Nothobranchius furzeri: one gene and its partners. The protein of the gene in region 2 purifies or fractionates together with the protein of the main gene of each other region. This does not show direct contact. Links are inferred from orthologs where the notes say so. Each region holds a gene or a part of one and is shown on either strand. Other genes may lie near its edges. The genes, in order: plrg1, xab2, aqr and sf3a1.

Region 1 (4,804 bases), on a different chromosome or scaffold from region 2:
CGCACAGTGGGGTGTGTATTTGTTAACGGCTCCGCCCTCTCGGTCAGTTTTCCTTTCAAACAGGAAGTGGGAGTGGAGTAAGACTGTGGTAGGGGGTGACTTGCTCTTTAATTCACGACTGGTTGTAACTCAGTAGGAAATGACATCGGCAGAAATTGCCCAAAACAACCTGTATTTGTTAAATTGGAAGACTTACTGGTGAAGCACAACGGAAGGAAAAGAAATTGTTGTTCCTAAACCCCCAAAGGCAAAATATTAACACCCCCCCCCCCCCCGAATGGCACTGTTTTGTGGTCTCCTGCAGGATGATGTTAAAAACTGTTTCCACTCTCCCCCTCACTGTTTGCTATCTTTATCGAACCACTAGCGGCAGCAATTAGGCAAACAACAGATATTAAAGGGATAAAGTGTAAGAAAATAGAACATAAGATCAGTCTTTATGCAGATGATGTTTTACTCTTTCTCCGGAATTCTCAATCCTCTCTCTCCCAAGCAATAGAACTGATAAACTCTTTTTTAAGAGTTTCCTCTATAAACTGGTTAAAATCCACAGTTCTACCAATTAATTTCTCTTTTGTCAATTTACTTAATACACAATTGGAGTAAGGGAATATCACATACCTGGGAATTAATATCTCTCCCAAGTTAGCAGATCTAACCAAACTAAACTACATCCCACTTTTAAAGAAAGTGGAAGATGATCTTGCAAGATGGAAATCCTTACCAATATAACTCATGGGGAGAGTTGCTACAATTAAAATGATGGTCTTACCCAGAATAAATTACTTATTCTCGATGATCACAAACAAACCACCAGCTGACTGGTTTAAATCTCTGGACTCCTCAATTACTAAATTCCTTTGGCAGGATAAACCTCCACGAATTAGCTTAAAAACGCTTCAGAAGACCAAAGATAGAAGAGGACTGGATCTACCCAACTTTTATTATTTTTCTTAGCCAACAGGCTGCAATATATACCAAGATGGTTGCAAGATAACCCACTAGATGAGTCCTGGTTAGATATGGAACAGACACTTTGCAATACGATAGAGCTTTCAGACTTACCATTTATTAGCTCAAGCATAAGAAAACATGAAGGCTTCAAAAGTATTAGTATCATCACCTCTCTGACAGCATGGTGGGAGTATCTTAAAATGACAGAGTCTACACTAGTACCATGCAGACGCACACCTATCTGGAAAAATCCTGATATTTTGCAAAATAACAAAATGATGAACCTTCCGGACTGGAAAAATAAAGGGATCCTATACCTGGAACACATATATGAAGGACTGGACTTCATCCCATTTAATAGAATAGTCTCCCAATTTGGAATGGATAAGAATAGCTTTTTAGAATATCACCAAATTAAATCTGTAGTCAAACAAAAATTTAAACTCAATAAAGCCAATCAATTGGCTAACGTGAGGACTTACTGTCTGGGGTGCAGCACCAGAGTTCGGACAGATTTCTTGTGGTTTGTCAGAGTTGCTCTGGTCTTCCCAGCGATCAGATCCCAAAGCCTGATGGTTGCATCGTGACTGCCTACACACACACACACACACACACACACACACACACACACACACACACACACACAGTTTTGTCACCTGCAAACATGAAACTGCCTGCTTAAAACCTGAACTCTTGACACTTTAGATCAGCTCTACCACAGAATCTGTGTTCCTTTAAATCAAAATGAATAAAAGACTTCTGAAGTGATTTATAATATAGTGTATAAAAATTAATCTCGTGCATCACTCGGGCTCTTATTTTGATAAGGTGCACCACAGCATTCATGGTGGAGTGTTTCCCCAAGTCAACAAGTCATCAAGTTAAATAATGATTTCACCAATAACAAACACAATGGAGACCAAGCCCCCCCCCCCCAAGTGGAGCAGCCATAATCACTGTTATTGGCTTCAAATCTACTCACCAGTGATGATCTGTGGCTCTACAGCCTGACATCTGACTGTAGCCACCGTGTTGGTATGACCAGTAAGTGTGTGCACGTTTGCTTTTGACCTGATGTCCCACACCTAAAAGCACAAAGAAAATCCAGTCCCAGTCAGGATTGGGATTAAACAAGACAGAGGCCTAATCCCACCAAACTAGAACCATATTGGTCTCATGGTTTAAAACAACACACACATTCCCTTTCATCTCTAGGTTACACATCACTGATGTTTTCCTCCTCCTCAGCTCGGGTGCAGAGCGGCACACACGCACTGACAGCGACGTTTTCACTGGGGAGAGTTGCAAAGCGATTCCCTGCCAGGACAACAGAGGGCGTCGCACCACCACTGCAGTCACATCTCTGGTCCAGGATAGCATATTAACTGTAGTTTGTGTTTGTATTGTGTGTTTGTGTATTTCAGAGACGTTCTCTTCCACCTCTTCATGCAGTCGCCACCTCTACACCCACATTTCCCATCAAGCTCCAACACAGCCCAAACTAAACTCACCCTCGCTGAGGCGTCTCGGCTGCATGTCACAAGCACATCGATGGTTGGATGTAGATCCAAATCATACACAGCACTGAGGTGGCCATGGTAGTGCCTGATTACCTGGAAGACAAACCAATGCTGTCGTGAGGCTGTAAAAATACCACAACTGCTATAAATACACAAAACCAAGTTATTTTAGATTAAATAGAGTAGTAAATATGCCTGTGGTACACAGGTCTGTACTAGAAACCGGTGTGTGTTTCTGTTATGATGTTAATCTTTCATATGCTGCTGACATGGTGAATAGCTCAGACAAGGTCTGGAATGTGGGAAAGTGTTTCAGCGGGGGACCAAATTAACTGCTCCACAGTCACACCAAAGTAAAGTAAACATTTAGCATGCTAAGTGTGAAGCTAGAAGAGGTAGCAGGACTAAAACTTATGTTTGTCTGTCATAAATCTGCGTTGTTAATGCACTAAAAACACAGAACATGTTGTCTACATGCAGTTTCACACCGATATTGTGTTTTGGGCACTTTTGGTTAAGGCCAGGCTAGCTTCGGTTTGTTCAGCTCTCTGCTGATTGGCTGCCAAGGCTTTGGGGTTGGACTAGTGCACCAGGAAGAATTGGCGGCTGCCTGGACCGATTCACAGCAAAGACTACGCCTTTTTTTTTATGTACAATCTTTCGAAACCTGTAAGTGGTCAACATGTCATGCTGGCCATTACCAATATACTTTAATGTATAATGTATACAATTCTAAATGCTTTCATTACTCTGATGTTTGTCTTGCTAACAGATGTAGCCTAGCAAACAACCTGTTCGTAGCAGGTGCTTTTTGGTTCAGACCGACTCAGGGTTTATGTGGAGTGTAGCGTGGGGAAAAAAATGCCCTCAAATACCGTAAAACTGATGCTTCAACATAGAGCTGGGCAATAAATCGAAAATTTATCGTTAAAGAAATTTCTGACTCTTATCGAGATCATTGTTCCCATGTCAAGTAATTTGATAATAAAAATGAAAATATGTGTAGGTCGGCAACATTCATGTCCCTTTAAGAAGCTGTTCCACCTTGAGTCACGTAAAAGTGTGAGTTAAGGTGGTACATGTGACAGCCCCATCTAGTGGACAACTTTTGTTTCTGCGCAAACCTGTAGTTATCGTCCATTTATCGTTATCGAGGTGAAATCCTCACTATATCGTGATACTGATTTTAGACTGTATCGCCCAGCCCCAATTCAATATGAAAAATGTACCATGCCGCCCAGCCCCAGTTGTACTAAATTTGCACAAAAACTCCTTTAAAAAAACTTCCTGATGACCCTGAGCTAATCCAAACAACGTACCTTGTTGTACTCCAGATCCCAACACTTGACCTGTTTATCTTCTCCACAGGAGAAGAGGTACGGACTGCGGCTGCTCACTGCTACACCACGAACGGTACTGATGTGTCCAGTCAGAGACAACTTCAGCTTCCCACTGGCCAGGTCCCAGATCTGTAGAGACAACCACCTTCCAGTTATCTCTGGATCATCACAGAAGCTTTAACAGCAACAGAGCCACCTTGGTATCACTCCCAAACGTTTTAACCCTTACCTAACATTAAAGCATTTTTTTGTGCTCAAATGACATTAACGTTAGAAAATGTAAACGTTGGGTAAGGGTTAAATACTGAAAGGATTTCTTTTTAAAAAACTGTATTGCAATGTCTGCACCTACACAAAATACAACAACCTGAATGTTTTACCAGCTCTAGATCAATAACAGCTCTTTACAGAATAGGAAAAACTATTTGGTGGAGAAGATGAAGTCTAATAACAAATCTAGACAGGTTCAGTCCTCTGAGACTTGTTACCATTAGAGACAAAAAGTAGCTTAAACCTGTTAATAAAGAATATAAAAAGCAGTTTAAAACCCTAGACCATTACTGATCCCTCTATCAACAGAGCTTTACTGCTTATATGTATTTATGGAGAATGAATGAATGAATGTAATAACAAACACATAAAAGCTGGTGTTTTACTCAGCCCGCCCGACCTTTATAGTTCTGTCTGCTGACCCCGTGACGAACCACTGATTTCCCGGTTCCACGGCGATGGATCTCACCCAGCCGAGGTGTCCGCTGATAACCTGACAGATAACGGTCACCACAGTTAAACAAGGCAGCTTCTAATTATTAATGTTGTAAACAAATGCAAGACAACTTGTGAAACAGTTGTTACGAACCCGAAACAGTTTCCACGGTGGATGCCACTGAGGTTTGGGCATTGTTGGAGCTCTCCTTATGAGCGCTGAGTTTCTGGTGCCACCTCCATCTAAGAGAGACTAAAAGATATACTTCAAAAGGTCATTAAGGA
Region 2 (6,090 bases):
CAACACAAAGGCATTCATAAGAAGTGTGTTCTTGTCGATGTTCAATCTTTTTCACTCTTAATGAAAATGAACAAACCTTCCTCCTCCTGACCCATCTCGGCGGTAGTCTCCATTTTTGCAGCAATCATGCTCTCCTCAAATTGGGCATAGCTGTCAAACACTTGTGTGAAATCCCTGACTGTTACCACTGTGAGGATGGCTTCCTCATACACATCCCTTGCCTGAGAAAACAAATCGATCAGAAAAAGTTGAAATAGTTAAAAGAGTTAAATAACTGACTAAAACTAAACACACTACTTATGAATAGTGATTTATGAACATTAATGAACACTCTTCAGAGGAAACACACTTTCTCAAAGTGGCCACTTCGAATGTAATAGTCAGCTAAAGAGCACCAAAGCTTTCCAAGTTGGTCTGTGAAGCGTGTGAGACCTCCACGTATGATGGCTCCAACATTTAGAGAGGTCACTTTATCAGGATTCTGAGAGATCAGGTCACATAGCTCATGCCACAGCTGGAAAAACCAACAACAAAAACTACAAGTTAAATAAGGGCTGTGAGGGTTTTCTGTAAACTTATTGCGCACACACACACACACACACACACACACACACACACACACACACACACACACACACACACACACACACACACACACACACACACACACACACACACACACACACACACACACACACACGGTATTTAAAACGACAATAAAATCTTACCTGATAGTTGGACTTGCCCTCTTTGGACACAAAACTTTCATCATTAACAACTGCTGCTAGTCGCACTGCTGCTTCATCCAAGCGACCAACAGACTTTAAGTAGTCAATGTATTCTTCTGCATTCTCTGGAGAGAGCTACAAAAAAGAATGTCTATTTTGATTTATGTCAACAATGGGGTGACCATATTTCCATTTCCCAGAAAGAGGACAGGGGAACTGTGCCTACACTATGCCAAAGCTGTCAGAACACCTGGCTTAGAGCTAAAATTAATACGAGACTCCGCCAACAAAGTTGCTGCTTTAGTGCTATAATGCTATATTAATAGGGAATTATTAAACATCGCATTTACTACAGCATCATTACAGATTAGACAATCAGATCAATGAAAAACAAAGTCTGTCACAGACTCTGTGGAAACCTCCAGAGAATCCACAGTTAGTGGCTTTCAAACAGGTTTGTTACTGATGTATTATTGAAAATTTGGAAGAAGCAGACGAGACAGCATGTCCAATTTTGTTTATTCGTCAGACAACTTTAGAACATGTCCCTAATATCAGAGGTCTTTTTACTAACACTGTAAAATGAATACTCCTGGACAGGGTATGAATTACACAGAGGCTTTTGGGGGGGCCATGTGACATGGAGTGGGGGTGTTCTATTTTACATTGGCCCCCAAAAGGCCTTGAAATGGCCCTGGGTGTGGGACTGAGTTTTAAAGGTGATCTGAATAGTATTAAATATATACATATCATGTGCTTATAAATTACTGTTTTATACATAAGGGGGATAAATCTATCTACACTTTCCTTTACAAGCCTTGTTTGTTTTCTTGTTATATATTTGACTGTTTTTCTGTCCCGTCCGTCTCCGATATTCCTGTATCTCCTCAGTCCTCCTGAAAAACTGCTGCCTAGCTTCTTACTTTTTCACTTCATGAGTTTCTTTTGAACTAAGCAGATCAAGGAGATCTACTGGCCACAAAAAATAAAGGAACTGAAATCACCGGAGCACTGTGGCCGAACGCAGGACGCAGCTGCCTGGAGAGCAACCAGTGCTCTGCCGCTCTCCTTGTTCTCTGCTCAAAAGAATCCCCAGTATGCTGAGAGTTCATGTAAATAAGTAATGTAGGTAGAAACAAGATCTTTTTTGGGCTCTCCCTGGATATGTAAGATATCCAGCTCCTGCTTAATTCAAACCCTGCTCCTGGATGAAAAACTGGGCATTTTAATCAATATAGGAAACCACCCCATACAGAGTGAAAAGTGGACATGTCTGGGAAAATAGGTGATATAGTCACCCTAGTCAACAAATCTTTACCTAAAATTTGAAGTATAATCACATTTTCCTGTACCCAAAATAATCCTGATGAAGGCGACTGAATTAAAGTACACTATCGAAACAAAATGAAAAGTAAACCCAAAAGTAGTAGAGAAGCTCATCTTCAGCTGTTAACAGGCAAGACATGGGTTGAACCGATTGCCAGTCCATCACATAACATCTGCTTAACTTTTAAAAACAGAATTGTACAGTAGAATCTCACCTTGAGGTACCTCCGATAGACCCGGATGGCTGTCTCAGGTAGAGGCAGGTTACGGACAAAGCGAAGATATAATGGCCAGATGCGTGGATGCTGAGTAACAGGCAGGGCTCTCAGTGCACGGTCAAGTGTCCGTCGACTTCTAGTAATCTTGCACTGGGACACGAGGAACTGGCAGTAATCAAGCCATATCCTAGGCATCTAGATTAAGTAAAGATTGATTGGTTAGTTATAAAATACAACTCCCACCTGTGTTTACAGCTAAAATGTTTCTAATTGAGTCATCAGTACCTTGTGCATGAACACCAGTGCCCTTTCATGACAATTATTGACCTCTTCATACGTGGGCTCAGTTATACATTTCCCTTTGACTTGTTTCCTTCTCTCTCTCAGGTAATTGTACCACAGTTTATAGCTGTAAAGGTTAAGAAGTTGTTAACAAGAGATAGAACACAAGAACAGATTCAAGCTCAATGTCAGTGTATACAACTAAATACTTATGTTTATTTATTTGGCAGACGCTTTTATCCAAAGCGACTTACAATTTATAACCTACAGGGCATGTTGTGATCTTAAATGATGTTAAGTCACATTAGTAATGTTTGGTAAAGGTTCCAGCTTACTAAAAATCCCCAGATACATCGTTGCTCTTGGAAGTTGCAACGTGTGCTCACAGCGATTAAAATAACCTCAATGTTCATGTAACAACTTTTCTTTATGTTACCTTCCAGGTAGTTCCTTCAAAGCGCGCTCATATATCATGTTGAGGGTGGCTTTGGGTCCATTCTGTTTGAATTCAAGGTAACGCATCCAACACTTGACCGAGTACGGGTTCCTGATAATCTCCTCTTCATAAGGAAGGTCGTCATCCTCCTAAAGAGGGAAGCCGTAACGAATCACAAAACAGTGATTTTCTGTAAAGCTAACAAATGTAGCGCGAAAGCGCAGTATTTCTTCAACAGCATTCTACATGTATAGTACATTACGTGCTTCAGATAAACAATTACTAAAGCTACGTAACTCAAACATAAAAACGTTTGTTTGACTGCATATATTTCACGTTTTAATGGTAAATATGCCATGCTCTCTATCAGGCTAGCAATGCGTAAAAGTTATAGCTTGTTGTAACGAATACTAAAAATATGCTTTAGCGTGTAACTCACAAAGATAACATCCGCTTTTCCATTTATGGAAGGCATTACTTCGCAGAGAACTAAAACATATCCACTTTAAATAATCCTAACTTTAGAAAAGCTAAGCTAGTTTGTGGACTCGAAACGTGAAGCTCTTCGTAACTTCCGGTAACGAAATACGCACGCGCAACACAAAAGGACTACAACAACCATGAAGAACTACGAAGGTTAACATTCTTCTTCTTGTGTTTAATCGCGTTTAGTAAACGACTACCGCCACAGACTGGTAAATCGTGAGGATTACAACAGTAACTCCAAAAGCCGATAATGCAGAATTGCAGCACATCGCCCTCTACGGTATAACATTTCATATCCTTTAAACTTGAATAAATGAATGTTTGTTCTGATTTTACATTTCTATTACACTTTTTTATGCTTACAGATGATAATTCAAAATAAACCAAACCAAAACAAATAATAAATGATGATAATAAAGCAATAATTATAATATTTTTATTTAAATAAATAATTACATACAGAAAAAATAAATAGAGAAGAAAAAAACCTTTTGTACTTGCCTGAAGCCAAAGCTTTTTCGTGCTTATCTTGCATGATGCACTATCATGCTCAGATGTGCAATTGTAAAGCAAATATTATCATAATTTAATAAACAGTCAAAAATGAAATATTTACATTTCTTAGTTATTTTTTCTTTTATTATACAGAACTGTCAATTATTGCTGCTATGCAAAATCAAGTCAATGTGTTCAACATGGTGTAAAATAAAAATTCTAAACTAACTCAGCAAAGCTATCGTGAATTTTTTGCAGCAAGCAATTTAATGTAAAAGGTTTTGAAAGATTTTATATTAAAAAACAACAGTGTTGTCTTGTTTCCACCCAGTTCACCTAAATGAAAGTAAGAAATCCCCTATGGACAAAGTATGTGTCCATCAATCAAGTCAAATGACAGATTAAAAGTTTATTTAGACAAAGAATATTTTTTTCCCAAATAAGGTCTGTTTATTAGCTTTTCAACAGTAGTTAACACAATTCTTAAACAGAATGAACAACATATAGACTGAAACTGTTTGGGAATTAGATTCAGTGCTGCATTATAGGTGCTGGAAAGGTGAAATAATTAATGAGCATCAGAGCTTTGTGACTTCAGAGCTAGCGGTGAGGCCCAGGCTTGCCTCAGCCTGGTTCTCACATTAATAGAAGTTCGGCCATTTCGAATCTCTGAATTTTAGCTGTGTCTTCTGTGCGTTCATGTTTGGATGTTAATTATGGGACTATTTGGACACAAAACTGTGGTTATTGACTGCACTAATAACAGATCACCCAAGCAATTTCTGCTTCTTTTCAGTAAGTAAAATTATATTTCTGTACTTTATTTTGCTGGCTGAATGCGGGAAATGCTGTGTCATTTAATTGTTTGGTCAAACATGTTAGTGGGGCTGCATAAGAAAATTGAGCGGGTGCCCGGCTTCTCCTGTCTCTTGCCCAGGAACAAACACTTGCTGGAGCAGACATCTGGCTGTTCCAGTTTCCCGAGGCAGCCGAGCCACACAGACCATCTCAGATGCAAGGCTGTAGTCAACTAGTCACATGTGGATCTCTGAAGGAGACCACAGAAAAACCGCAACCCTTTAAGTTGACGCTGCTTCACTTTTGAGTCGCTCAGCCGCATACTGAGAGTGTGGACTTGTCTCCCGGCTCCGTTTCGACACAGCGCCAGTAGTCGAGTTGATGCTGCCAGTGCGTCGACAATGGCTGACTCACAGAACTTTGACCGCAGTGGACCAGAAAAGCCCGATATTCTTGGTCAGCTTAAATGATTTAGTTACTAAGCAGGCACGAGGATCCTTCACTTTGGACTTGCTCTACCATGTTTTCCTTGCTAAAAACTTGAGAAACCTTCTCTGGATCCAGATGACCTAATAAATTATAGACCAATATCTAACCTTACATTTTCATCTAAAGATTTTTAAAAAATAGTGGCCAATCGATTATGTGAGCATTTAGACACTAATGGTCTGTTTAAGAAATTTCAGTCTGGTTTTAGAGAGTATTGGTGTGGGAAGCAAGCTGACCAAGAGAGTCTCTGACTTCGGGAACCAGCTTGTCTGGAGCACAGATGAGGATCTCAGTCTGGACAACATCTGTCCTGTCAGAACCAGATCAGTTCCTGCAGTGAACCCTACTCCCTGGTTTAATGACAGCCTTCGCATCCTGAAGCGCCAATGCAGAAAAATTGAGCGTTTGTGGAAGAAAACCCATCTCCATGTCCATCTGCTGCACCTAAAGGATCTTCTGACATCCTTTAACTCTGCAGTCAGAGACACTAGGGTTTCCTATTTCTCCAACCTGGTGTCCCAGAGCAAAGGGAACCCCAAGGTGCTGTTTAACACCATCAGCAGCATTGTCTCTCCTGCCTCTCCTACAGCCTCCATCCACTCTGTTACAGACTGTGAGAACTTTCTGTCTTTCTTTGTGGACAAAGTCAATAAGGTTAGATCTAGCATCTCTCCTTCAGCCTTATCGCTGCCTCTCCCGACTCCAACCAGGCCCATCATCCTAGATAGCTTTGCTCCGGTTTCTTTGCCTGAGTAAACCAAACTAGTTAACTCTATGAAGACCCCTGCATGCCCCCTCGACATCTTACCCTCATCTTTGTTTAAAAGTGCTT
Region 3 (6,235 bases), on a different chromosome or scaffold from region 2:
ATGAGAGGAAGGACCTTTCTCTGGTTGCGCTAAAGACGACACGAAGAACACAAATCAGAAAGACTGTGGAACACAGCTGGAACATCACACGCTATTTTCTCAAGTCTGTATTGATGTTTTGAACAGGTCAGCACAGAATCTAATATTACCGCTCAGCTGCATCAGCATCCATCTTATCAAATTTCTTCTTGATTAAATTCCAGAACTTCTGCAGCTTTGGGACTTTCTTCAGCTCGTGTTGGAGTCTGGACTGCAGGCGTGACAGAAAATTAAATAATAATAAAAAAAAGAGAGAATGAGATGGTTTAACTGTTGATTAGTGTCAGAGACAGGAGACAGGTCCTGATAGTGAAATGACTCGGGGTGCCAATAACCCCCAGAGAAACTTCATTAAGGCAGGAAGTTAACATCTTACTGGTAGCAGGCACATCCACATTGGCAGAGAGATGAGCTGCTGCACCTGTTCTCTGATCAAATCCACCTCCTGGGAGGGAGGTGCATGCATGCAGAAGGAGAAAGAGACAAAAATATACAGAGTTATGACAGAAATTTAGCCCTGTGACCAAAATGTTTACATGTTTTTATAGGATACAATCAAAATGCAGCAGGATACTCCATTTAAAAAGAAATTAAACATCTGCATTGTTTCTCTTTAGTCACTCAGCTTTTCAGGATGCCGGGTGGCTGATTTGCTTGTCTACTACTGCCACCTAGTGGGCATTACTAATAACTGCCTTAACAGTGAAAATTAGGTCTGAATATTCATATCATATCATTTTGTTTTGATTCTAATATATATATATATATGTATATAAAACCCTAGGCCAACTCCAGAATGTATTTCCTGAGCAGAATAGCCCAGGATGTGATGGTGCTACACACCAGACTGTTGAAGCAGTGGTCCAAGAAGACCAGGAGAACAGTTTGCTCCTTCAAAGTAAGGTCAGTCTCGTCGCCTGCCAACACAGCTTCCATCACACACTTGAAGAAGAATGGGAAATGTTCGGGCTTCTTCTTAAAAACCTAATAATCATGACACAAATGCATTAATACTGTGTTAAATAATCACCTCTGCTGTTAAGTATGGTAACAGAACCTTTACGCAGAGCTTCATTTTCTCTAAGCATGATGTTGTTGTTTTCCTTACCTCCCAAGCTGGAACATTCTCTCGGAACTTTTCATTGACGATGCAACAAATGGACATGATGAAGGCTTTGCTGGACACCTCGGGCGTGTAATTTACCCAAAGGTAATTTTCCAGGTATTGACTGAAAGAGGAGGAAATTAACTATCTGCCCTGCAAATAGTATGGCCACAATTTGATCCCTTCCAGGGGGCTGAATAATCTGCAGAATGAATATATGAAAATGTTCACCTGAATTCAAGCAGCATAATTTTTCTGATGGAAAATCTGAAAGTAGAAAAGATAATAAAAAATAAATAAAAATGCACAAATAGAATATTAAAAAACACCAGCAATGCTATTTATTTATTTACTTACTTGGATGTAAGAATCTCTTTTTCGTACACATCTTCCAAAACCTGAACACACATCATATCATGTTGAAATCATCTCAAGGCAAACAAAAGGCAGGAAAAGCATTACAAGATATAAATAAAAAAAAACATTCATCTCTGTATTAAAAAGCAACAGAACTAATGTAGAACACTACAATTAAAACTGGTGTCTGGCACGCCCATCTGAATCACACACAGCCTACCCTTACACACGCTGACCGTTTAGGCTCTGTGACCATCTCCCTTGGCATCACTAACAGTGAGGAGTTAAACTCAACCTGCCATGTTGCTTGGCCTAAATAAATCCTCCTAGGAAGAAGAAAACTCAGGCCCTGTGTGATTTTCTTTTAAGAAACAGGGCTAATATATGCTACTAGATCAGCTACATTAAAAATGCTGAAAGTAGTCAGCTTTCTTCTGAAGGTAGGTGAAGCAGACTCAAAATAATTCAAGGAAATCTGCAATAACATTATACAAAATATAAATTATAAGAACATTTTGTCTGCGACTGCAACTTGCTGGTAGCAGCACCTATTATTTTAAACAAAGACCACTTTCCATCTTATTTTCTGAGATCTATTGAGCATGGTGGGGAAGTGACTCTAGCTACAGACTTTTGCATGCTATCACCTAGTTAATGAGTGCACTCACAAGGAAACACATGCCTTATGATGTCACAATTTATATCACAGTATGATTTTTTTTAATCACACGTCAGTTTAGATCAGTACTAGGGCTGGACAATAATTCCATAGTTCAATACATCTATTGATAGACATGTGGTGGAGATAAAAAGTTTCCTTTTTCATTATAACCTATCAGGTAACAGCACACTAGACTCACTACATACTCCCAACCAATAAAAACCACAGACTCGGGCACGCTATGTTGCCAGGCCCACCTCCCCAAACCAAAACAGAGCATGAGGCAGCAAGATGTCGCAGCGAGAAGAGGTGGATAAAAAATACCAAAAATAAAATGGTTAGGGGTGTACATAAAATATTTTTCAATAATTATCAATATCAGTAAAAAAAATGTTTAATTTATCGATATACCATTTTTCTCTATCGTCCAGCCCTAATCAGTACTATTGTGGCTGATATATGGCACCGCCCTACTGTCTTGTCATCAATGTGAATGATAAAGACTTGAAATGCCTCTTTTTCACTTTGTGAAATGACTGAGATGGAACGTTGCTGCTTACACCTTTGAGTCACGTTAGCAAAGGTGCAACAAAGCAAGGGTTACTGGCTGCATGTAAATGCACTGGAAATGTACATACCAATCCTGCTGCTGTCACTCTCTGGTTCCACAATGCCAGCTTTGTGTGTGTAAGAGCTAACACTGGAGCTTAATTAGCTTGATTTGTTTAAAATGTATTGGCAAATTCTCCCTTAATGTAGAACCACAGCATAACAGGGACTTTTTTAATGAGAGCAGTGGACAGCATCTTCAGAATAACATGCTGTAACAGCTGTCACAAGCATTAGAGCATCTTAATCACACAAGCATCGACAAGTTTCTCACTGCATATCTACCATGCTGCTTTGTCCGTCTTACCTTAGAGTCAAAAGGCAGTTTATCCTTTGCATGAGGAGCCCAATATTTATTAGCCAACTGAAAAACAGATGCCAAGAAGTTCAAATACAGACATAGACAAAATATATTGATGTTTGTATAGTAGTATATAAATATATATATATATATATATATATATATATATATATATATATATATATATATATATAGTATTAGTAGTGCTTAAATAATACTAAAAAGTAATGAAAACATGTTTTTTTCTGCTTGGTCTAACTCCTATAGAGTCAGTTAAGTTATCTTTATCCAGTACATATTAGGATTAGATAAGGAGAGCAAATATGCGAGTACCTGCGTGACATATTCTGCGTTTATCTGAGACACTGACGGCGCAGCAATCTTTTTAGCGGGAGTTCCTTTTTCTGTGGTGGTCTCCATGTCCAACAGTAACTAGCACAGCTGCAAAAATATACAGTTAATCACTGAAGGGCTGCGATAGCGGTCGTTTCAAAGGAAACAGCTCTGGACAACAATATACGGAAAAATCTAATCCACAGTCCAATGTTGTAACAACCAATGGTTTGTAGAACAAAAAAAGTAGCAGATTTCACATTTACTTTATTTCTTAGTTTCCTGTGACACATTTGACAAAAACACATCAGTAAATGTTAGCTCTCACAATGGACAGAACAGCTAACTGGTTAGCCACGCTTAGATACAGCTAAGAAAGTTCTAGATAAAAACGTTATTATTGCTATTAGTTTTTAACATAACAGCACGAACAAAAAACAAAAATAACATTACTAACCTTTATTATTTTATATTCTCATGAATCGTATGACTACAGCAAGTTAGCCATGTATACAACCACGACGCGCTGTTAGCGTTCCACTTCCTGGAATAGGTACGTCACTAAAACTGTCCCTCATGTACAAAACTGTTTCTTTAGTTCCCTTACATTCCTTGTTCGAATTTGGACATAGAGCGGTAAAATTACACCTAATAAATTCACAGCTCAGCCAATTTTTTACAAAAGTCATGGAGTGAGATTTTTTAATATAAATTTTAATCTCTCTCTCTCTCTCTCTCTCTCTCTCTCTCTCTCTCTCTCTCTCTCTCTCTCTCTCTCTCTCTCTCTCTCTCTCTCTCTCTCTGTGTGTGTGTAGTGAGGATTATCCGCGTATTTGTGAAATGATCAATAAGATGTGATATTCCATATTATTATGGAATATGAACCTTGTTGGTCTTTAATATTCCTTTAGGTTCTCTGACTATTCAGGGAACACACACTTCAGATTAATTCAGACAGAGTCAAGGATATGGTTGAAACAATGAATTAACTAAGGAGGTGGCTTAAATGATTAATGATGAACTGATTAAAATTAAAAACTGATTTGATATAAATAGATTGACACTGAATCTTAATAAAACAAATTTTATACTGTTTAATGATAAAAAAGAACAGTGATGTGTCATTGGAAATAGATGGGACTGCAATTCAAAGAGTAAAAGAAACTAAATTGCTTGGAGTTCTTATTGATGAAGTAATGGGAATCTCATATTAGTTACATAAAAGGTAAAATTGCCAAATCCTTAGGAATATTACATAGAGTCAAGTTTTTACAGACTAATTCTGGTTTGTTGGCATTGTACAATTCACTGATTGTTCCATACTTGACTTATTATTGTGTAGAAATCTGGGGAGCAACATACAAAAACTGTACACAACCCTTATTTATTGTACAGAAAAGAGCTCTGAGAATCATCAATTATAGTGGCTGTAGAGATCCATCGAACCCATTGTTTATAAAATATAAATTACAGAAATTTCATGATTTAAAAGACTGGAAAATCTTACAAACCATGTATAAAGCCAATTTAGGTACTCTGCCAACAAACATTCAAGGGATGCTGAAAGAAACTGATGTGTTTACAAAACCTAGATTTATAACAAAAATTAAGGAGTGGAATATATCTGTAAATGGTGTTAAATTATGGAATAGCCTTAAAAGGGAAATAAAAAAACTGTCATTTAATTTATTCAAAAAATGTACCAAATTGAGTTTACTAACTAATTATGAAAATGTAAATTAAATCAATGATCATGATCACACTGGAATTTAGAACAGGAAAAGGTTTAAAATGAATCTGTATGTGTGTCTGACAAATGGTAATTATGTATAAATTGATTATTTCTACTGAAAAAGGGGGCAGAAATTATTAAATGTTTTTCTTCATTCTGCTCCTTTTCGTTCAAATCAATTTTTTTGTTATGTCTTTCTTATTGTTTATATGTTTTATTTGTTTTTATTTTGAATGATATAAAAGAAAAAAAATCTATTTTCCTAAACTAAGTGATTATACATGACAAAATATGGATGAAATGATGGAATGTAAGCTAGATGTTTTAGCATAAACTTGTAAGTGTCAGAGAGATGTTGTGATGTCTGGGTTGTAAAATCAGTTTGACTGTATGGTTTCACAATACTACGAATAAGAATACCTTTATTAGTCCCTCAGTGGGGAAATTGTGGTATTGCAACAGCACAAGTACTGTAAAGTAAAATAGAAGTAGTACACAAAATATATCACACAAAAAGGATGTAAATATGTTACTTAGAATTGAAAAAGTGTTGAATTCTGAGTTTGATAGTTGTTGCACATAATAATGATTGTTGCAGTAAATATTGCACATGTATTGAATGGTGATGACAGTAGTGGCATTGTTACAGATAAACGAGTTGTTACAGATAAACGAGTTGTTACAGATATATGAGTCGTTACAGAGATCAGGAGGTGGTTTTGCTGACACCAGTCCACGAAGTTCTGTGTCAGTCCTCTGTGCTCCACATCATCGTCCTCTGTGATCAGGCCAACAACTGCAGAGTCATCGGAGAACTTCTGCAGAACACATCTGTCCGTGTTGTGTCTGAAGTCAGCAGTGCACAGGGTGAACATAAAGGGTGTAAAAACAGTCCCCTGAGGGGCGCCCGCACTGCAGTTCAGCAGGTCAGGCACACAGTCCTGGGCTCTCACAAACTGGGGCTGGTTTGTGAGATAATGCAGAATCCCCTCTGCCAGGTGTAGGTCCACCCCCGCCCTCTCCATTTTGGCTTTCAGAAGCATCGGCTGGATGGTATTAAAAGCACTGGAGAAATAAAAAAACATGATTCTCAGTGGT
Region 4 (6,038 bases), on a different chromosome or scaffold from region 2:
TATCTCCAATATGTTGCTTTTAAACAACATTAAAATATAATACGATGAATAAATGTTATTTGCTTCGACATAATTCAATGTGGAGTGGATCATTCTGGAGAGAAAAGTTAACGTCCGAGTCCTTGGGTCTCGAGTTATGCGGCTTTAGGGTACTCTGGATATGGTCGTATATGTAGAATAGTTAAAAGTGTAATTGTATTATTCAACACATTAAAAAAGTCCAGATGCTACATAGCAAAAATATCGAAACTCTATATTTTTGGTTCAATAGTTTAACGAAACTGTAAGTCTTGCTAGCTTGGCAGTTAGCTTGTGCTAACTTGTAGCATTACCTTGTTGTTGGGCTCCGGCTGAACTATCTGAACAGGCCCAGGCGGCATGGTTAGGTCTGCCTGTGAAAACCGATTGATACCTGAAACATACAACCCCCAGGAAGTGAATTTGCAATTTCAATGGAATTTCATACAAACATCCACATTAAAATCACAGCAATGCAGTCCAAACCTTGAATTTTCAGATGGTTCAACACTTGCTGCGTCGCGCGCTCGTCAGATAATGGAGGTGTATCACTTCCGGAAACAAGCTGCAAGGCATTGTGGAACTTAGAGTTTCATTTGCCGTTTCCACGGATACGTGATGCAAATGAGCTCGACCTTTTCATCGCATCGAAGACAGAATTAAACTAAATCTGGGGATCATGAGTGAGCTGTTAGGTAGTCAAGACTGCATCAAAAGCCTCCAAAAAGATCTGGCGGACATCCAAGCAGCCATCGTGGACGTCTTTTCCAGAACAGGACCGGTCAGCTTTACCTCTTGGAAGTTCCCTGACAAACTCTCCTGTAATGTGGACATGTTGGCTCTGCTGGAGGAGTACGACTATGTAGACGGAGAGGATGCCTTCAATCAGCACTCCCACATTGTTTTACTGGAATTAGTGATTGACAGGTAATAAAATGTGTTTTATATGTTATGCATTGTTACCAAAGTAATTCTATTAACATTTGCCTTTCTCCTTTTCTAAAAAGATTATTGCTACTTCTACAAAGTGTTAGTGTTTACAATGAGGTGCCGAGAGGCAGACAGAGAGGAGAGCAAACCCAGCAGACAACATACTTGTCAGTTGGACTCGTGGTCAAGAACTACTGTGGGAATTTACTCCTATCAGCCAACAAAAAGGTAGTATTAATGTTAGAAAATACAAAATACTCTAAAAATTGCATTTTAAATGAAAGATCTGGATACTTTTATGCTTTCTTTTTCACAGGAGCCCTTTAAAGATACAAAGCCATTTGACTCCAACAACACAAATATGGTGCTGTCCAACCCTGCTATAACTAGCTCGAAGACTGAACTTAGTAGCTTTTGTGCATCTGCCTTGTCTTCAGCAAGCTCATTTGATTTTGTCCCACAAACTAACAACACTCCATGCTATCCTAAAGCTGAGCAGCATCATGTGAGCTGCCAGACAACAAGTTCGTCCCTTATTCCCTGCAGCGCTTGCCATCAGGTGCAGTCCCTTTTGAGAAACACGGGAGATGCATTGATAGATCTGTTACAGAGTGAGGGTTTGCCCTCATCTCTGCAGCCTCTCGCAGCAGCTATGGAGGACATTGTGGGTGACATGACATCAGGCGATGTAGCCCAGTGGGCCGAAGAGCAGCTCCGGGACACGAGCCGGCTGACCAAACATCTTAAGGATGTCCAGGGTACTGTGCAGCCTCTTGAAGAAAGAATTGCCGTAGCTGAAATGGAACGTGACAGTTTCAAATCTGAGCTGGAAAGTGCACAGAAACAATTCAAGCAAGAGCTGGAAAAACACCAAATAAACTCTGTCCAGCTGGAGTTTTCTCTACGGAAAGCACAGAGATCCTCAAAAGAAACAGAGCAAAGGCTACAAAAGGAGCAACAACAGCTGAAGAGAGGTAGTTAACACAATCGGTTTTATAACAAGAATGTATTGACATCATAGTTTTTACTATAAATATTTTTCACATTTTTGTGACAGAAAATATGTCCCTGGAGGAGACTAATAACAGACTAAAGGAGAAAATAGCACTGCAACATGACAGCTTACAAGTGCTTGGTAATGAGATGCAGATTCTGTCATTCAACACATCTACAGTATGATGCTGCATAATGACGATTCATTTGCTGGTAGAAACTGAAAAGAAAGCACTCCATGAGAAAGTGAAGAACCTGCAAACAGAGAAAGAGGCCTGCTGCAGACTGCAGGAACAGATCCAACAGCTAGAAACTCAAGTTTCTGATGCTACATTTCTTCTTGACAAGGAGAAGGCCAAGTACAGGAGCGCCTGTCGTCAGCAGGAGGTCAGTGTCACTGTAAAGGCCAGCATAGCTATAAAGGGGATCCTTCACACTGTTTTCAATATAATTGTGTATCCAGTCAATGCTGGCAAAGCAAAAGTCGTTGCTGGAAAGAGTTGATGCTCTCGATGAAGAGTGCGAAGAGCTGCAGAGGGAGCTAGGAGAGAAAGAGGAGGAACGGATCACCTTACACAATCAGATGTCAAAGGTGGAGGAACAGCAGGCTCAGCTCATGCAGCAGCAGGTATATATGTGGCCTAAAATGCAATACAATTGTACTGTAAATGGCCTTAGTTATAATAAAGTCTGTTTTGTTCTTGTTCTTCCATCAGAATTTGTGTGAGGAGCTCCAGAAGGAGAAGCAGACATTAGAAGTAAATGCGGATGAGTTGAAAAAGCAAGTGGCTGACCTGACAAGGCGTGTGGACTCTTTAAAGGAGAGGGAGAGACTGCTGGTGGCTTTCCCAGAGCTCAACAACTGGTCCCAGGCCCAACCTCAGAGTAGGTTGCTACTGAATAACATTATCTGATTATATTTGATTAGATTTATTTCCAGTATAATAATAGCACATGACTTTATTTACATTCTAGGTACAGGAAACTTGATTTTGGATATGGAGCAACAGCTTCAAGCAAACAGAATTCGTATAAAAGTGATGGAACAGGAAAATGCTACTCTGCACAAAAGTCTTGAGAAATTGAAAACAAGAGCTCAGCAAAATGCCTGCAGGGTATGGATGTACACAAAGGAGTTTCATGTGAAGTAGATCATGCACCGTTGGGATTATTATAACTCATTTGTAATGTATGTGTCTGAATAGGAACCTGCACCTCTGCAGACATGAAGCCAGTTTTATTCCTTGGAGTTTCATGTAAAAAACCAGATCAACGTGGATGCAACTGACTAAATAAAAACCTTATTGTTGAAAAAACTGAGCTGACATGTTTTACTTGCCTTTATTAGAAACAGCGTTGGTTGCTTTATTAATCCTCGTCAGTGCTGCATTTCCTGTTTAGAACACGTCAGCATAAAGGTCTCTGAGCTTGTTCTCTCTGTTCCCAAACTTCATCTTGTGATGTGCAGGAAATGCGGGGGTCAGTGAAGATATGCAAATGATTCTGTTGCGGCCTTTTACCACCCAAAACGAAATAATTCCAACAAAAGGCCATGGGTGGCAACCAAGCCCCCACAATGCCGCTCAGAAAATGGTCCCATCCCGGAAGTAAGAAAAATTGCAGTTCCACCCTCATCCGCTGGGGGCTGGTGCCAGAAGCGAGCAAATCCTCATTGACTCCCATGTTAAAAATGCCGATTTCACAGCAGAAATAAACATGTTTACAGCCTGGTGCCAAAACATGTTTTTTGTCTAAATTATCTAGTTTATACTCATGACAACTCTGAGGGGGGTGAATTTTTTTCTCACTCTTCTGTTTAAGTGTATTGAAAGCCTAAAATTCTGTATAATTAATGAGCATCCAACACACGTGACCGCCGCCTCAGACCCACGTGACCACAGAGCTAGCTCCGTGGAAAGGCCTCAGTACAGCCTCGGTCTGGCTTGGAAACTGCTCCGGCATTTTGAGTCTCTGTGTTTGTGTATTCTTCTTTGGATATTATTGGTGCAATTGTTGGACAAAATGACTTGCAGTGGTATTAATTGCACTAATAGAGCGTCCAAGGAGTCTCCACTTCATTTTTTTCGGTAAGTTAAAATCTATATTCGTATTTTATGTCACTGCTACCTTTAAACTAGCTGAGTTTACCGAAGTAGCTAGCTAACTATCAGTTTAACATGTAGCATGTACTGTTTAACCATGAAATTTAAATGTAAAATACGGTAAAATAATTAATAGGGCATATTTAGATGGGTAATAGGGTAAAACCCAGTGCATTTAAGATAAAAATGGGTTGAAATATGACGGAGCGCTAAGAGGGAGACTTCTGTGTCCATTCTTCCATCCGGTAATCCCCAGCGGTCAGGCCGGGCAGCCTGGACGATCCGGCGCCTATTTGCTGCGCCTAGCTGCTGCGCGGTCTGACCGCTCGTGGAGTTTTTCATGTCTGACTTTAACCGCATCTAATACTGTATTACGGCGTGAGCGCAACAGCGACAACTTAATATCGATGTGTAAGCAGCCTGAGTGGTAGGGTGTTTTCATCTGAACCCTCCAGCAGGCTATGCTGCACTATTGACGTGTTAGCGCGCGGCGCTAACAACTTAGCAACGTGACATGTCTCTGAGAAAGCGTAAAACACGGACGCTTCTTCTGAAGCGGAAAATAACACCTCTTCTTAAGCAGAGCAGGATGTCGCCTCGGCTCGTTCACGGCCGAGCCGGACTGAGCTCGATAACATTGACCAAGCACAGCCACTGGGTCGTTGTAGCTGCCACCAGGCCTGCTGAAGGAACTCCAGCGGGTTTCATCAGACTCGTAAAGTTTCTTGTTTTTGCTGGGGATTTCTGTATTTTACCGCTCCCTCCTGCAGTCTTCCCCTATTAAAATTTAAAATGTGTAACTTTATGTATTGTGATGAATGACTAATATTCATGTTAAACTGAAACGTTAGGCATTTAGGGGGAAAAAACAAAATAATAAACATTATACAGATGTCAAATAAATCAAACTGTAATTAAACTATATATTTTCAAAGTCATATAGACAGCATGATGGTTTGTGTGATCCGCGCGGTTTCACTTACACCCCTTTAATGATCAGGCTGTTTTTTATTATTTTTATCAGCTGATAGCAGTTAAAATTATGGTAAAAAATACTTTTATCTGTTTTTGATAACTTAATGCCCAGGAAGAGCATCTTCCTGGGCATTAAATATAACCCAAATGTTTTATTATGAGCAGATCTGATGAAGGTTTAGACAAGCAGTCTGCAAAGTAAAACTTGTTTAGAGTCCAAACTCTTACTAAAGCTTTTGAAAAGAAAAAATGGTTGAATTTTGAGAAATATCCACAACAGGGGAGCGAGACCTCTGAAAAATGTATATTTTCTCTGAATTCATAGAATAATGTGAAGATTCTGGGAAAAGTTGGGATTCTGAGATTAAAACGTAAATCTTTCTAATCATAATTCTGGCAGTTTTTGTGTCCTTCTGCTGTGGAAAGTCGTGCAACATGAAGATACTGAGAAGATGCTTACAACCTGTATTTTTATTCCATCCATAAATAAAATCATGAGCTATTTTTTTAATCCAAATTTGATCCAAAGGGCCATCGTTGGTTCCAGACCCGTTCTAGAACATTCCTCTAATCTTAAAGTCATCATCAGTTTCTTCCTTTTAACAAATATTTATTTGTTCAAATATTTAATATTTATAACTGGAATATTTGTTCCTCCCTCTCCCACTGCAGTTAGTCCTGTCCTGCAACCCTGTTTTTGCAGCTTAGTGAAGCCAACCATCACTAACCGGGGGGTGGTTTTGGACCCAGAGATGCGGATGGACTCCCACATTAGCCAGGTGGTTAGATCCTGCTTTTCCCGGCTTCGCCAGCTACCAAAGATGAAGTCCATCCTGAAAGACGTGTCATATTTTCTCCCCAAGCTGGACCTGACCGTCATGTATCGGTCCAAAATAGTGTGATGATATTGTGTTTTTGTACATAACAGACTTTTTAACAGACAAATTTGTCGCATTCTCCTACACCTCTTCACGGGCTCGCCACAGTAAATATTCTATTTGGCAAGAGATAAACTTTATT

The links.
Region 1: the proteins of xab2 (region 2) and plrg1 purify together in Homo sapiens (affinity purification with mass spectrometry; 3 studies listed by BioGRID and IntAct, counting the BioPlex papers as one, with this or other methods). This does not show direct contact. The link is inferred for Nothobranchius furzeri from reciprocal best matches to the Homo sapiens genes XAB2 and PLRG1.
Region 3: the proteins of xab2 (region 2) and aqr fractionate together in Homo sapiens (co-fractionation; 3 studies listed by BioGRID and IntAct, with this or other methods). This does not show direct contact. The link is inferred for Nothobranchius furzeri from reciprocal best matches to the Homo sapiens genes XAB2 and AQR.
Region 4: the proteins of xab2 (region 2) and sf3a1 fractionate together in Homo sapiens (co-fractionation; 3 studies listed by BioGRID and IntAct, with this or other methods). This does not show direct contact. The link is inferred for Nothobranchius furzeri from reciprocal best matches to the Homo sapiens genes XAB2 and SF3A1.

What each region holds. Positions count from the first base shown.
Region 1 is NC_091744.1:17,226,262-17,231,065, forward strand, and holds part of plrg1 (pleiotropic regulator 1), read right to left. Parts: intron 4,773-4,804; coding exon 4,674-4,772; intron 4,578-4,673; coding exon 4,485-4,577; intron 3,944-4,484; coding exon 3,794-3,943; intron 2,568-3,793; coding exon 2,466-2,567; intron 2,040-2,465; coding exon 1,937-2,039; intron 1,546-1,936; coding exon 1,437-1,545; intron 1-1,436. UniProt on the Homo sapiens protein: Involved in pre-mRNA splicing as component of the spliceosome. Component of the PRP19-CDC5L complex that forms an integral part of the spliceosome and is required for activating pre-mRNA splicing.
Region 2 is NC_091745.1:2,820,863-2,826,952, reverse strand, and holds the start of xab2 (pre-mRNA-splicing factor SYF1), read right to left. Parts: upstream 3,589-6,090; 5' UTR 3,466-3,588; coding exon 3,430-3,465; intron 3,140-3,429; coding exon 2,991-3,139; intron 2,682-2,990; coding exon 2,558-2,681; intron 2,468-2,557; coding exon 2,270-2,467; intron 864-2,269; coding exon 729-863; intron 515-728; coding exon 350-514; intron 222-349; coding exon 77-221; intron 1-76. UniProt on the Homo sapiens protein: Involved in pre-mRNA splicing as component of the spliceosome. Involved in transcription-coupled repair (TCR), transcription and pre-mRNA splicing.
Region 3 is NC_091758.1:25,985,990-25,992,224, forward strand, and holds the start of aqr (RNA helicase aquarius), read right to left. Parts: upstream 3,980-6,235; 5' UTR 3,863-3,979; intron 3,514-3,862; 5' UTR 3,493-3,513; coding exon 3,406-3,492; intron 3,136-3,405; coding exon 3,079-3,135; intron 1,543-3,078; coding exon 1,502-1,542; intron 1,412-1,501; coding exon 1,376-1,411; intron 1,269-1,375; coding exon 1,148-1,268; intron 1,024-1,147; coding exon 883-1,023; intron 485-882; coding exon 416-484; intron 251-415; coding exon 150-250; intron 30-149; coding exon 1-29.
Region 4 is NC_091757.1:36,508,221-36,514,258, reverse strand, and holds the start of sf3a1 (splicing factor 3A subunit 1), read right to left. Parts: upstream 3,496-6,038; 5' UTR 3,281-3,495; intron 3,262-3,280; exon of another isoform or gene 3,171-3,261; coding exon of another isoform or gene 3,147-3,170; exon of another isoform or gene 3,093-3,146; coding exon of another isoform or gene 2,917-3,092; intron 2,827-2,916; coding exon of another isoform or gene 2,658-2,826; intron 2,570-2,657; coding exon of another isoform or gene 2,405-2,569; intron 2,329-2,404; coding exon of another isoform or gene 2,159-2,328; intron 2,084-2,158; coding exon of another isoform or gene 2,006-2,083; intron 1,923-2,005; coding exon of another isoform or gene 1,265-1,922; intron 1,177-1,264; coding exon of another isoform or gene 1,026-1,176; intron 946-1,025; coding exon of another isoform or gene 698-945; exon of another isoform or gene 633-697; intron 628-632; exon of another isoform or gene 505-627; intron 413-504; 5' UTR 381-412; coding exon 333-380; intron 1-332. Other genes in the region: ccdc157 (coiled-coil domain-containing protein 157), read left to right, coding at 698-945, 1,026-1,176, 1,265-1,922, 2,006-2,083, 2,159-2,328, 2,405-2,569, 2,658-2,826, 2,917-3,092. UniProt on the Homo sapiens protein: Component of the 17S U2 SnRNP complex of the spliceosome, a large ribonucleoprotein complex that removes introns from transcribed pre-mRNAs.